Kluyveromyces lactis: one gene and its partner. The protein of the gene in region 1 purifies or fractionates together with the protein of each later gene. This does not show direct contact. Links are inferred from orthologs where the notes say so. Each region holds a gene or a part of one and is shown on either strand. Other genes may lie near its edges.

Region 1 (3,030 bases):
TGAAACCGATGGAGAAAGAATTAGTTTTCGATATCGATATGGATGATTATGATAGTTATAGAACATGTTGTTCTGGGGCACAAGTGTGTCCCAAGTGTTGGCACTTTATTAAATTAGCTATGAAAGTAATCAATTCATCTTTGGAAAATGATTTCGGTTTTGATGAGTTCATTTGGGTTTTCTCTGGTAGACGTGGTGCCCATTGTTGGATTAGTGACAAGAGAGCCAGGGTCATGACGGATTCTCATAGGAAGAACATGTTGGATTATATGAACGTGGTTAGGGATAGAAATATTGAGAAGAGATTGAATTTGGTTAGACCGCTGCATCCACATCTATCAAGATCTCTGGAGATTTTGAAACCTCATTTCGTTGAAATCATTCTAAGGGAACAAGACACTTGGAGAGATGATGAACTAGCGATAAAATCTTTGGCTACCAGTTGTCACGACAAACAGCTATCTGAGCAGCTAAAGAAACTATGGACCAACAAACCTGGAAGATCAAGTGAGGAAAAATGGAAGGACATGGATGTGATAGCGTCTCAGCTAATAAGTAGCTTTCCTAAACAGAGACAACACGATTATTTGCAGAGACTACGCGAGAGTAAAGAAGATATCATCATCCAAACGCTATACCCTAAATTAGATGTGGAAGTCACAAAACAAACCATCCATTTACTCAAGGCTCCATTCTGTATACATCCATCCACTGGTAACGTTTGTGTACCGATTACAGAAGAGTTCTCACCAGAAATGGCACCAAAACTTATAAAATTACAGAACGAAATGGATACTAACGATAATCAAGTGCAACGCACTTCACTACAACCGTACCTAGACATGTTCGGAAAGTATGTCAACAAGTTGGTCAAACAAGAATTATCCTCACAAAAGAGAGACCGTGAAGAAGATATCAAGTCGTCTATTGACTTCTGAATGCCTAATTCAGCTGTCTTGCATGATCAAGCACATATATACATATGTATATTTACAAATAAGAACAATACCTATTTATCGATACTACCTGAAACAAAACAGTAAAATAAAAAACATTCAACAAGTGTATTCTTAGTTACTATCACCCCACAATTGGCGCCTAGCTTGGGCTTCATTCCTGCGAATAAAACGCTTTGTCTGTTTCTCTCTCTGTGTATTGTCACCTTTCATACAGTGGAAAACCTTTAAATGATGTTTGAAAATGTTTAACTAAAATACAATTGACAAAAAGAACATACACTTACGGTGGCAAACCTTTATCAGGGAGGAAACAGGGAAATATAGGGTCTATCGACAGTGAAAAGAGTCAAAGTTTATACTAAATCTCCCAATGGATGTTCTATTAGGTATAAGAGTCAAGGATTCGGTGATATTGGCCTCTTCAAAGGCTGTAACTAGGGGTATTTCAATTTTGAAAGATTCAGATGACAAGACCAGACAATTACTCCCTCACACACTAATGTCGTTCTCTGGTGAAGCTGGTGATACAGTACAGTTTGCTGAATATATCCAGGCTAATATGCAATTGTATTTGATTAGAGAAAATTATGAATTGTCTCCTCATGCGGCATCGAGTTTTGTTAGAACAGAATTGGCTAAATCCCTAAGATCGAGGAAACCATTCCAAGTTAACGTATTAATCGGTGGTTATGATACCAAGAATGAGAAAGCAGAGTTGTACCAGATAGATTATCTAGGTACTAAGGTAGAATTACCATACGCTGCCCACGGTTACGCTGGTTTCTACACATTCTCTCTATTGGATCGTCATTACAGAGAGGATTTAACAGTAGATGAAGCCTTAGGTTTATTGAAGCAATGTGTACAAGAGCTAGAGCTAAGAATGCCAGTTGATTTCAAGGGGGTTATTGTAAAAATCGTGGATAAGGATGGTGTTAGGGTCGTTGACGACTTTTAGTGCAATCTTTCTAACCAGAATCAAGTACATACACATATTTACATCTTTTGTATAAACAAAACTCAAAGTAATATCTTATCTCAGAAATACCCAAGAGTCAAAAGCATTTTAAGTTTGGAGGTGTCGCTGGTAGATTAGCGTGTATCGATTTGTCTTCTCTCTCTTTTTGACGTTGATCAATATACAATTTTGAGATTTATTGACTTTATTGTAAACCATCTTATCTCATCTCATCTCAACAAAACATGAAAAAAAGGATAGGCAACATCACTGCAACAGCTTCGTCTGATCTGTCCTTTCTAGTACCTACCTAAGTTAAGGTTGCTGCTGCGAATAGCATGTCTGATGTCAAGAAGGAGATATGCAAAGTACTCGGTTTAGATGATGAGATAGTCGCTGATTTTATCATCAACATAAATAAGAACTGTACCACGAAGAATGAGTTTAAGAAAAAACTGTTGGAGATGGATCAGGATTTGAGTGCCGCTGTTGTGTCCGACATTTATGATGTGGTGAACAAGACTGCTGGAAGCACAGCAGCCACAAGGGTTAAGACTCTTCTTGCTGAGCAGCTTGATGTTCACGATGATGTTGTCACCAATTTCATTATGGACATTTGCAGTAAGAGCGAAACGTTGCTCAAATTCCGGGCAAAATTGAAAGAAATGGAGGCTGGTGTATCGGATAGTCTAGCTCTTCGTATTTTCAACATTGTTCATTCCTCAAATGTGGCTGTCAAAACGGAAATCGAGGATACAAAGTCTGCACTTTCCTTACCCAACACTACTGTTTCTTGGGAAGGAATCGAAGAAAAAGCTTCCAACAAATCAAGATTTAGGAAGAATGAAACGGTTGATCCAGAACCTGTGCTTGATAAAGTGTATCCTGGAAAGGTACAGAACGTCACAAAATTCGGATGTTTTGTGAGAATTTTTGGGGTAAGAAATACTAATGTCGACGGTCTTGTGCATGTATCGGAACTTAGTTCATCGCATGTTGATAAGCCAGAAGACGTGGTACACAGAAACCAAGATGTGTTCGTGAAAGTTATAAAGATACAGAATAATGGCAAAATATCACTTGCTATGAAAGGCATTGATCAGAGTACTGGAA
Region 2 (4,039 bases), on another chromosome or scaffold:
CACGATATACTCACCTTTTAATCAACTTACCTCTTATTTGCGGTCCCATTATCCTACTCTTTATTTCACAAAAAGCTGTGCTTAAACTGCCTGCATTATCTTGTATTTCTGGCATATTAATGCTTTCTCTTTTCAGACATCAGGAATTACGCTTTATAATACCGGTTCTACCATTACTTTGTGCATCGATGAACCTTGACAATTTCGATACTTTCTTTCAAGCAGAAACCATCATAACTTCATGGCTCGTCTTTAATATTGTCATGGGATTGATAATGGGAGTATTCCATCAAGCAGGAATAATACCTCTCATATCCTACTTCTCAGGTGAAGAATTCCCTGTTCATATTTGGTGGAAGACATATTCTCCTCCGACGTGGATGTATTCCAATCCTGATCTGACGGTTTCTACCACGAACTTTAAGGAAAATGTAGAGTTTGTCGATAATATACCTTGGCATGTTGTATCAAATCATGTTGTTGATTTAAAAGGTAGTGACATTGAGTTACTAAATAAAACTCTTACAAAATTTTCGGAGAACACAGACTCAATTCAGCTAATCATGCCAAATACTGTTCTCGATAAATTGACCCCCCTTCAGTCGCAATGGAAGTTCATCACAGAATGGGAGACGCAGCAGCATCTCGATTTAGATCACATTGATATGCCAGACTGGACTACCATAAAGCCAGGATTAAGGCTATACAACGTAAGTCTAATAGTTTGAAATATTACTGGCTTATTTTCTATTAGGAATACTTTCCAATATACACTGCATTTACCGATATGTATTGAGTCAAACACAATTAAATTAAATTATTTATAGAAGTCGAATTTATCAACATCGCTACCTGACTTGACTTGTGAAGCATACGCTTCCTCCAAATCGCTTTGTAGGATGACGTATCTGTTCTTTCTGACAGCTCTTAGACCAGCTTCTTGCATAATGGCGGCAATCAAAGCACCAGATAAAGGATCATTTCTGATGATCAAAGAATCTAAATCTGCTTCAGGAGCTAAAGACATCTTTGCAGCTATAGTACCAAAAATTAAACGACGTTCACGCCTGTCCCTTAATGAAGGGAATTCGATCTTTCTGTCTAATCTACCAGGTCTTAACAAAGCTGGATCTAGAGTATCAGCACGATTGGTTGCCATTATAACTTTAACATTTGTTGACTGATCAAAACCATCCATTTGAGTAAGTAACTCAATCAATATACGTTGGACTTCACGATCAGACCCTGTCTGAGCATCGAAACGTTTTGTAGCGATGGAATCCACTTCATCGATGAAAATAATTGATGGTGAGTTTTCTCTTGCCAATCTGAAAACATCTCTAACCATTCTTGGCCCTTCACCTAAGTATTTATGCACAAACTCTGACCCGTTCACTCTGATGAATGCGGCTTCTGTCGCGTTTGCCACGGCCTTAACTAACATAGTTTTGCCAGTACCAGGAGGACCATAAAGTAAAACCCCTCTTGGTGGGTCAATACCAATCTGTTGATACAAATCCGCCTGTACCAAGGGTAGTTCAACAGCTTCTCTTATTTCTTGCTTCTGCATGTCTAACCCACCAACATCGGCATAGGTGACATCTGGCTTTTCATTTGCGGCCATGATTGATATGCTAGAATCTGAATCAGGTGGTAAAATATCCACAAGGGCATTAGAGTGACGATGTAATGCAACTGAAGTTGATGGTTTTAACAGTTCCCTATCTAGAGTCGATAGAATCCTTACGACATAACTCATACCTGTGGTCGAGGAGACGATACCGGTGTTTTCGTCAATCGGTTCCAAAAATTGACCAATGACAAGTGGCACAGATTGGATTCTTTTCACTTCCTCTTGGGCTCTGAGTAATTCCCTCTTCAAATGGCGCTGTTCATCTTTGATATAATCTTCTTGTAATGTCAATAATTCATATTCTTTCTCCAGCTTCTTTAGTTTCAAGTAGACATCTGAATTACCATTCGCCACGGCAAATGAATCATTATTTAGCTGAGCAAGTAGGGAACCATATGATAGACCATTATTCTTTGCACCAAATTCTACACTAAGAACAGGTTGAGGAGTACTAATACCTAGTTCTTCCATAATGTTTTGATCTTAATTCGTCTTTCCCGTAGTGTGTAAATATTCTAACTCCCTTTAGACTATGATCAAATAAAGACGAAAGTATCCGAAAACACAGAAAAGTTCCAATAATATACTGCAATTCCAATAAACTAAGGGGTCAGTCTTACTACTTACACGGATATATGTGTTTGTACCTACATATATTTATAAACGTATCCCCTTCCACACTAAAGTGGTTATGTCAAATCGTTCAGTTTAATAATTGCATTATTTCATTAAAAAGTTAAATCTCATTTTGGGTATTTTGCCACCCATTTTGCAGTCACGTGATCTCGGTTCTTAGACAACTTTTTCGAAGGGCCTACACTGTTTAGAATGTTAACATGATAGGCTACCCACTACGTATATCAATGCACCTGTGTATACTCAAATGCAGTGTCCTAATAGTATACCTAATGATAAAAGTAGTGTGGAGTACGAGTAGAAACAACTCTTGGTGAAAGTGACGGTTGTCTCCGGTAAAAGAGTTACCAACTTATTATAGTATATTGTCCACTGTAAAGAACACCATATCTTAAAGTCAGCAACTATATTTGAAAATGTGAGGATTTTGGGAACTTCCTCCTGATGGGGTTTTGTTTGAGTTTCTTGAAGTTTTTTATCCATCAAATTGTCTATGGTATTTGACATTTCTGAAATTGCCAAGTTTTGTTCCTTTTGATGATCATCAAGCGCCATTTTTACCTTATCTTCGAAAGAACCGACTAACCTCCTTCTCTTCCAAGGTTCTAGCAGTAATTGAAATATTACGAAGAAGAGTATATTTACTCCCATCAAAATAAATGTACCCCATGTCGAAGTTCTTCTGATCTTATCTGACCAGATTTGTTCTTCGTGATACCTTGTAAGAATGGCTCGGTACAAATTCGTTGAAAGTTCCTCCTCCTTAGCCTCAAGTTCTGCGAGTTTTACCTTAGATTGTTCTTCCGTTTGAGAGTTCAATGCGTCATCTCTGTATAGTTGGGTAAATCTATCAAGGTCAGTAGGAGACCACGAATTTTTTCTTTGCAACAATTCATTAACTTCCTTTTGCGATCCCGATCTTGCTTTTATAGCTGTCTCGTACTTTTCCTTTGCTTCATTGACAAGTTTTTTAGTGTCCTTCAGCTCTTCTTCCAATGAGGAAATTGTATTTCTTAACTTCTGAATACTGGAATATCCTGTTACGTCATTCAAAGCTCTGGTGGCTGTGAATATGGTCTCTTGCAATGAATCTAAATACAGTTCCATTTTGCGAGCCCATTTTTTACGATGTCGTTCTCTTTCGCTAGGTAGGTCCTTGATCTTACCTTCAGCGTTATAGTTCAATTTTGAATCGTTACTGTCATTTTCCATCTGAGACAATCTCTCGTTCGCATCCTTTAAAGATTTTTGAGCTTTGTCCCATTGTGTTTTGAAATTCACTGAGTATTCCCGAAGTTTATTAGCTGTCTCGTTTGCCTTATTTTGTGATTTCTCCCAGTATGCACCAAGCTTCTGTTTCCAAGTATCAACTAATGTGGAATTTGTATTCGGTCCGGTTGAATAAAAGATTCGAGGATTATACTGTGTCCAAACACGAGGGCTACTCGGAAGTCGCACGATTATTCTTCTGACCAGCATATTATAAACTGGTGTACCCGACGTTGTAGTCAGCTATCTGTTATATCGCTCAATATCAAAATGATCTCTAATTTACTATGGGTGTTTATATTCTTTAACTTATAGTGGGCATGATTGAATTTTGATAACTCAAATACCATACCTAGACAAAAGTAAATACAAGCGATGAGAAAAGAAGTAGGAATAGAAGTTGCAAACAAATGAACGCGTTGAGTGATGAATGGGATATCTATCAGTTTGAAATCTAAGAACAAAGTCAAGAAGAAGTCAGGCACAAAGAAGAAGAAAAAG

What was found. Proteins that work in one complex are often made in the same cells at the same time.
Region 2: the proteins of PRE1 (region 1) and RPT3 purify together in Saccharomyces cerevisiae (affinity purification with mass spectrometry; 4 studies listed by BioGRID). This does not show direct contact. The link is inferred for Kluyveromyces lactis from reciprocal best matches to the Saccharomyces cerevisiae genes PRE1 and RPT3.

What each region holds. Positions count from the first base shown.
Region 1 is NC_006038.1:1,023,152-1,026,181, reverse strand, and holds PRE1 (proteasome core particle subunit beta 4), read left to right. Parts: upstream 1-1,329; coding exon 1,330-1,917; downstream 1,918-3,030. Other genes in the region: DNA primase subunit PRI1, read left to right, coding at 1-938; DEAH-box ATP-dependent RNA helicase PRP22, read left to right, coding at 2,256-3,030. UniProt on the Saccharomyces cerevisiae protein: Non-catalytic component of the proteasome which degrades poly-ubiquitinated proteins in the cytoplasm and in the nucleus. It is essential for the regulated turnover of proteins and for the removal of misfolded proteins.
Region 2 is NC_006039.1:570,284-574,322, reverse strand, and holds RPT3 (proteasome regulatory particle base subunit RPT3), read right to left. Parts: upstream 2,105-4,039; coding exon 818-2,104; downstream 1-817. Other genes in the region: SMP3 (glycosylphosphatidylinositol-alpha 1,2 mannosyltransferase), read left to right, coding at 1-728; SHE9 (She9p), read right to left, coding at 2,513-3,748; spliceosome ATPase-activating subunit SPP2, read left to right, coding at 3,965-4,039. UniProt on the Saccharomyces cerevisiae protein: The 26S proteasome is involved in the ATP-dependent degradation of ubiquitinated proteins. The regulatory (or ATPase) complex confers ATP dependency and substrate specificity to the 26S complex.